Linked DNA regions of Arabidopsis thaliana. Each later gene encodes a partner of the first gene's protein in a complex. Each region holds a gene or a part of one and is shown on either strand. Other genes may lie near its edges.

Region 1 (3,753 bases):
AGCTACAATAGGAAAGACCCTTTTTTAACTATAACCTCATTACTAACGGCATAGGCAAAACAAGAAATTCCATAAAACCACATACCTTGAACTCAAATTCAAATAAATCATGAGATGAATTCAAATGAAATTGCAGCCCCTGCATAGACACAAGACAATGGATTGTAAGCTCGAACTGGAACATGTTTTCTCAGATAAGCACACACTCAGCAGTTTAAAAAGAGCAAGAAGACAAACAACAAACACAAAAATATGTAACCAAACAGTGAAAGTATATAGCATTAAACGGCAGTAGCATTTCACAGTGTTAGATATGAAAGGCCCCGGAAGAAACCTCAGTTGTAATAGTTGCCCACCTTGAAGCTACCACATAGCATAGAGCAAAATGGACAAGAACAATCCTCCCTAACTGCGTGACAATACAGAAAAAAATAGTAAATAACAAATCATCTAGAGAAACATAGACATTGACATCGAATTTTGTCGAAGAACAGAAAAAGACTAACCTTCAGTTCTTTGTAATGTATTATTACAATCCTTATAGTTGAAAACTACCATCCCAGTAGATCTTGACCTAAGCAAAACACAATTTTGTAAAATATAAGTGTATAGCATGAACAAAGAAGAAACCATTCATTATGTCCATATCTACTCAACAAAGATAAATAGTTCATCAGCTTCCATATTAGAAGTAAGATAAATAACATATCACTGTGGCAACTACATTCAAGAAGAAACGCATACTTTCTTTTGCGCTTTGCCCCAATTTTGTAGTTCAAGCATCTTGGCAGAAACGATGGCTGCAACAACAAACAACAAGTTCAAATAACATTAGGAGACAAAAGAAGCACACACTCGCCATGAGTCAGACCATAATCAGCTTAGCAAACTCAAACTATTAGTGGGTGATCTACACAGGAGATGAAAGATTACTAAGCTAAAATGATGAGAGAGGAAGGCCAAATCATACGTTGCCTAGAGAGCGAAGGTGAAAGATGTTATATAGTCGAACAGGTTTACAATATATCAAGAGATTCTCATCAGTTGAAATCACTTCCTCCGGTGAGGATTTCGCGCGACAATTCTGCCTACACATTCTTGTTCAAATACAATCAACAACGTCCAGAGCTGATTATGAAGTTAGTGCAAACTCTGAGGCCTCCCCTAAATTAGAATTTCCCTACGTCATATTGTTCAACTCCATGCAACAATTAGAACCGCCTCTTCTGCAATATGCTTATATAGAATGTCTTGTATTGAGGCCTGTGTAATAAAGAAAGCACAAGACTTTTTAAGCAACTCAGAGAGTTCATTCAAGACATAGACAAGTTTAGACGTATTGCAAAAATGAAAACTTTATCCAATGCCACTTAGCAGAATCATCATACTTATCAAATTAAAATAAAATTATGTGATCTTTTGAACCAAATGTGTATGAAGAAATCTTAAAAAAAATTCCATCGAGATCAACGATTCCAGAACTAGAATACGATTCCGGATCTACTGCAAAATTTCAAATCTTACAATATAATTGAAACAATTAGGGTTATCAATTGTTATTACTTGACTCCGATTTAATTTGAGATTGAGACAAACCTGAAAGCTGCGAAAACACCGATTGGCCGTGTAAGAGAGAGAGCAAGCAAAATTGAAGAAGCTTGATTGGGAGATATTCACTGAGAAAGAAAACAAGTAAAAATAAAACTTTGGGTTTCAAGTTTTTCTTCAAGTCTGGGCCTATGGCCCATATTTTAAACCGATAACCATTTAACACGTATTATTATTAGTCAATAAATAGTTGAACTTTTTTTTTAATTAATAAAATGAAAAGAAAATACAAGCAACTTGGACAGCTTAATGCCTTAATCCACTAATATTTCTAAAATTGTTTTTTTAACTCTACCATGGCAGTACAGTGAGTATTAGAGGATTTAAAACCATATTCACCATTGATCTATGCGTGGAGGATGAAGAAATTAAGAATCATTGATCTATACTTTTCACACTAAGAATAGAATCTTCATGACCTTCAATTTTGATTTCCATTTGTGTTTTACATAAATAGTCAGAGTTTAAAATAAATTACTGAATATGTATTTTGATTCCATTGTTTAACTCTAGTTGAGTTGGCTAGCTGAAACTCACAGGAACATATAATCCTAAGGTGGCATTAAGTTGAAACTAATCTTTTTTTCGACCAATAGAATGATTAATGGATAACCATCAGTGTTTTCTACTTGAGTTGTGTGATGTATATCACTGAAATATTAAACATACATTTCATGAAAACGAGAGATCCTTTTGTGTGTCTACAGAACCAAAAATTACAAATACGAATGGTTTGCGGCACAAAATCACCGGCGGTAAAAGAATTGTTTCCTTTCCCAAAACTGAATATGAGTTCCCATGGAGACAAGACAACATGTTGCTTTTGGAACTCAACTCCTTAACGCTGCTGACAAATTCCAAATCCATCACCGATTTAGTATTATATGAACAAATTGAAACCATAATTCAACACAAGATTCTAACGTTGCAGAGACATCTCGATCCTCATATCCATATGAGTCTTTGTAAAATCCCTAATTAAGTTTCACAGATCAATTATGGATTCATAGAGATTGAAACAATTTCTCGGCTTACCTGAGTAAGAGGAGAGCCAGAGGATTGCGACACAGAGAAGAAGAATGAGAGGAATCAAATGGATGACGTTTTCTGAAAATCTGAATCTTGATTTCTCTCTCTTCCCCGCTTGAGAATTCGGATCGTACCTAGGCAAAAGCAGCTCCACATCATCTTCCATTGCTGTAACACTCTGAGATCGAGGCGGAGACCTTGAAGTCGCCGGAAAATGATCCAAAACTCTAGAACCACTCGCTGATCTACGCATCTCTCTTCTTAACGGCAACTTGTCAAGTCAAAGGTCGAAACTTTACCACACAATAACGCATATAAATACAGTCAGGTTTGACCAATGAGAGAGTCAAAGCTCTTCTCTTTTCACCAGTAATCGCCACAAGAGCAAGACCCATCTTTGAAATGGTGAAACCTTGTGGTGTCTCTTACAATGATCTCTCGTTTCTCTATCTCCGAGATAAATTTGATTGCTTTATGACAATCACCACAGATTCTCAAGTTCTTGAACACTTGTATCTGTGAACCTTGAGGGAGTTTTATGCAACCAAATGCAACAGCTAACTTCTCGCTGTGCCATAACAATAGCTTCTCTTTTTGCTCTTCCTCTACATTGTGTAAAGCAAACTCTAGTTCCGGTTTGTATCCAGCTAGTTTCATCTTCTTCTCCAACTCCTTCAGTTTCTTGTGTATTGAGTCTAGTTCAGGGTGAATCCGATCACTTGATCTGAAATGGTGAACTTTGTTTCGTATTTCGATCCAACTGTATCCAGGTACCTGAAACAGTCAAGTAAATACATTAGAGTCTTGTAACTCGAATAAAGAATCGAACTTTGACTCGCTCTACCTTCACAACATTGCTCTCTTTCATTCTCTTGCGAACCCTTGCAACGTCTTCCCAACGATTCTTCGATGCGTAGATATTCGCAAGCTGCACATACCCGGCTGCATTTTGCGAGTTTAGCTGAAGCAGTTTCTCAGCTGCAAATTCAGCCAATTCCACATTCTTGTGCACTCTACAAGCCCCTAAGAGCGTCCCAAAGACCGCAGCATGAGGTCTAAACGGCATTGATCTTATCAGTTTCAATGCCTCCTCCAGCTTCCCAGCCCGACCCAAAA
Region 2 (3,753 bases), 8.6 Mb from region 1:
TGGTAGAAAACCTGTGGATATGTCACAACCTTCAGGCCAAGAAAATCTCGTCACTTGGGTAAGTAGAAAGTTCTTGTCATCTCCTAGATCTTCCTGCACTTTCATTGTCGAAAACTTAAGCTTTTGAAGTCTCGAATGTAAAAATTTGATTCTGGATGCAGACAAGGCCAGTTTTAAGAGACAAAGACCGGTTAGAAGAACTAGTCGATTCAAGACTTGAAGGAAAATACCCGAAAGAAGATTTCATAAGAGTATGCACAATCGCTGCAGCTTGTGTTGCACCTGAAGCTAGCCAGAGACCAACGATGGGCGAAGTGGTTCAGTCACTTAAAATGGTTCAACGGGTGGTTGAGTATCAAGACCCGGTTTTAAACACTTCAAATAAAGCTCGTCCTAACCGGAGACAATCATCAGCTACGTTCGAGTCAGAAGTAACCTCTTCTATGTTCTCTTCTGGTCCTTATTCTGGTCTAAGCGCTTTTGATCATGAAAATATTACACGAACAACTGTTTTCTCAGAAGATCTTCACGAAGGCCGATGATAGAAGCCAGGGTTTTCTTCTTTTTATTTGTTTTTCTCCCACTTACGGTGAGAAAATTTCCACCAGAGAAGCTTTTGAGTTTGGGACATTATTACAGCTCTTTGGATTTTGGATTCTCCTTTATTGGAGGATAGAATTTTGTATATATTTTTGCGTTAATTAATTAATATTTGCCACAACCATCAGATATACAAATAGAATTTGAATATACTTTTTCCAATATAAAAAAACTATGTACAGGTGATTAGTTTGTACTGTTAATTTTTAAAGGCTTTTTACAGTAAAAGTTTTTACAGCTAAAAGTAACAGTATAATACTTTTTTTTTATGGAATAATCTAAATAAAATATAATCTGTTGAAAAACTAATATTTTAAATATAATTTTTATGGTATCAAACCAATATTTAAAGTAATTCCTTTCTTATTAGTTAAAATCACAGTTTTTATTATTATTATTTTTGATAGTGGTTATGTTCAGGAAAGGACTGTCATACATTCAGGATGGATTTACAGAGATTGCAATGGATGTTTCCTTAGTTCAGGGCGTGCTCAACTTCAATCGTCACAATTATCTCTTCAAGCAGAGGCTCTCGGATTTCTTCATGCCCTTCAAGTGACTTGGTCCCGAGGACTACATTATGTACTTATGTGTGGTTTGAGAGCGATAATGCAGAGCTAGTAAATCTGATCAATACGCAGAGTGATCATAATAAGATCATCACTCTTCTTTATGATATTCGTTATTGGATGGTGAAGCTTCCGTTCTCTTCCTTAGCACATGTTAATTGGGAAAGAAATGCAGCTGCGGACATCTTATCTAAAAAGGCTCAGTTAATTAATTCTCTGTACCACCATTATGGTTAGAAAGATATTTGTATCTCCCTTTACAAGTTTATAAGAAGCATACATATGTTAAAAAAAAAAAATCTTTACAGTTTAAATCTTTACGCTCAGAGATTTTTACTTTACAGCTAATATTCTTAGCCTCAATGGCTAGTATTGTTAACGTCAAAGTTTCTAAAGCCACACAAATCATAGTAGTTACCTTTAAGATAAAATACAATTATAATCACAAATATCTTAATATTTTTACGTTCAGAGTTTATTACTTTACAACTAATACTTATCTCAAACGTAACTGCTATAACCTGTGTGGCTCTAGAGACTTTGACGTTAATAATATTAGCCATTATTAGCCTCAACGGCTCCAGAGCCAGGCATGTCGTAATAGTTATCTTTAAGATAACATACAATTATAATCACAAATAGAAAATAATTGTCGCAAAACCACTAATTAAATTACACACGTATAAGCACTATTCATTCACACGTGTGGCGTTCTTTGTATGTAATGTAACCCCCCTTCCAGTCCACACTCCGTTCGTCCTTCTCACAAGTCTGATTGCGGAAAAAGCAGAGAGAGAGAGAAAGTTCGAGCGGAAGAGAAGCGGAAAGCTCGAGGAGTCATCAATGGTGACGGACGATAGCAACTCCTCTGGACGAATCGTACTCAGATTTACCTTTCAATCTCCTCTTTTTTTTTTTTTTTTGATTTATTATCTGATTTTGCTCGTATGCGCATGATCATTCGCGTTTTTTCAGCTGATTGTTCGTGAAATCCGTTTGAGTTCATCAAATTATAATCGCTCTCTTACTTTTGTTCACTGTTGGAGTTGATGGACCTTATAGAATTAGTGTTTTTCCTCGTTGCTTTTGTTTTTTACACGATTTTTGTTTTGATTTGGGCTTCTGAATAGAAGTCTCATGTAGATGATGATGATGATGGTGAAGAAGAAGAAGATAGACTCGAGGGTTTGGAAAACAGATTAAGTGAGCTTAAAAGGAAAATTCAAGGAGAAAGAGTTAGGTCTATTAAAGTAAGAGAGTTTCTATACTTGATGTTCTTTACTAATTATACTAATGTCTAAAAAATTTGAAATCATTTATCCGTTTTTGATTGTTTTCCTGGGAATGTAGGAGAAATTTGAGGCTAATAGAAAGAAAGTGGATGCTCATGTTTCTCCCTTTTCATCTGCTGCATCGAGCCGAGCTACCGCAGAGGATAATGGAAATAGCAATATGCTTTCTTCGAGAATGAGAATGCCACTCTGCAAGTTAAATGGTTTTTCTCATGGTGTGGGAGATAGAGACTATGTTCCTACTAAGGATGTTATATCAGCAAGTGTCAAGCTTCCTATTGCTGAGAGAATACCGCCATACACTACCTGGATATTTTTGGACAGGCATGCACCTTTTCTAGTTCTCATTTTTGCGTTGGTAGCATGCTATTCTAAATTCAGTTGAACAATAGACTAGAACATCAAATTCAGTTTTCATATTATGTGTTGTTTTTCTTTTCTGAAAAAATATCTTAACCATGCAGAAATCAAAGAATGGCTGAAGATCAGTCTGTGGTTGGTCGAAGACAAATCTACTATGAACAACATGGTGGTGAGACGCTAATATGCAGCGATAGTGAGGAAGAACCAGAACCTGAGGAGGAAAAACGTGAATTTTCCGAGGGTGAAGATTCCATTATATGGTTAGTTTTGCAGAGAGTGTAAATTATGGACTCTCATGTACTCTGATGGGGAAAAATTGTGATACTGGTATTTGAAGAAGTACCTGGGTGGAATTTATTAACCAATGAATCACATTTGTTGATGCTAAAAAAAGATGTCATATTTCGTATTCATATCAAATTTCATTCTGTAAGACTCTTCATTAGCATTAGGTTTGAAATATATCTCACTATATATGAATTTCTTCATACCTCGTTTGACTTGAATTGGCAGGTTAATTGGGCAGGAGTATGGCATGGGTGAGGAAGTGCAGGATGCCCTTTGCCAGTTGCTAAGCGTAGATGCTTCTGATATCCTGGTGCAGTTTTTAGTCATCTTGTTCTTGTGGTTTATCTAATGATGTTTTTCTGGTCTTCCTATTCTTCTTCACTAATGATGTTTGGCTTTCCTGTCTGCTGCAGGAAAGATACAATGAGCTCAAGTTGAAGGATAAGCAGAATACCGAGGAATTTTCTAATTCCGGATTCAAGCTGGGAATATCTCTGGAAAAGGGCCTTGGTGCAGCTCTAGATTCTTTTGATAATCTTTTCTGCCGCCGTTGCTTGGTACTTGGATTGTTCTTTGTGACAGAGAGAGCATGTATTATTAAGTGTTTGTTAATCATGTTAATCCTTCTTTGGTTATTTCTA

What was found.
Region 2: VRN2 (region 1) and SWN share a complex: the UniProt entries of both Arabidopsis thaliana proteins name them as parts of the plant homeodomain / polycomb repressive complex.

The regions. Positions count from the first base shown.
Region 1 is NC_003075.7:9,474,051-9,477,803, reverse strand, and holds the start of VRN2 (VEFS-Box of polycomb protein), read right to left. Parts: upstream 1,736-3,753; 5' UTR 1,597-1,735; intron 1,264-1,596; 5' UTR 1,097-1,263; coding exon 971-1,096; exon of another isoform or gene 801-970; coding exon 745-800; intron 575-744; coding exon 507-574; intron 410-506; coding exon 357-409; coding exon of another isoform or gene 335-356; intron 140-334; coding exon 86-139; intron 3-85; coding exon 1-2. Other genes in the region: AT4G16840 (uncharacterized protein), read right to left, coding at 2,439-2,455, 2,644-2,890; AT4G16835 (Tetratricopeptide repeat (TPR)-like superfamily protein), read right to left, coding at 3,001-3,411, 3,482-3,753. UniProt on the Arabidopsis thaliana protein: Polycomb group (PcG) protein. Plays a central role in vernalization by maintaining repressed the homeotic gene FLC, a floral repressor, after a cold treatment.
Region 2 is NC_003075.7:884,681-888,433, forward strand, and holds the start of SWN (SET domain-containing protein), read left to right. Parts: upstream 1-1,899; 5' UTR 1,900-2,012; coding exon 2,013-2,048; intron 2,049-2,299; coding exon 2,300-2,419; intron 2,420-2,519; coding exon 2,520-2,785; intron 2,786-2,925; coding exon 2,926-3,084; intron 3,085-3,337; coding exon 3,338-3,422; intron 3,423-3,525; coding exon 3,526-3,669; intron 3,670-3,753. Other genes in the region: AT4G02010 (Protein kinase superfamily protein), read left to right, coding at 1-58, 162-542. UniProt on the Arabidopsis thaliana protein: Polycomb group (PcG) protein. Catalytic subunit of some PcG multiprotein complex, which methylates 'Lys-27' of histone H3, leading to transcriptional repression of the affected target genes, mainly abscisic acid (ABA) responsive elements.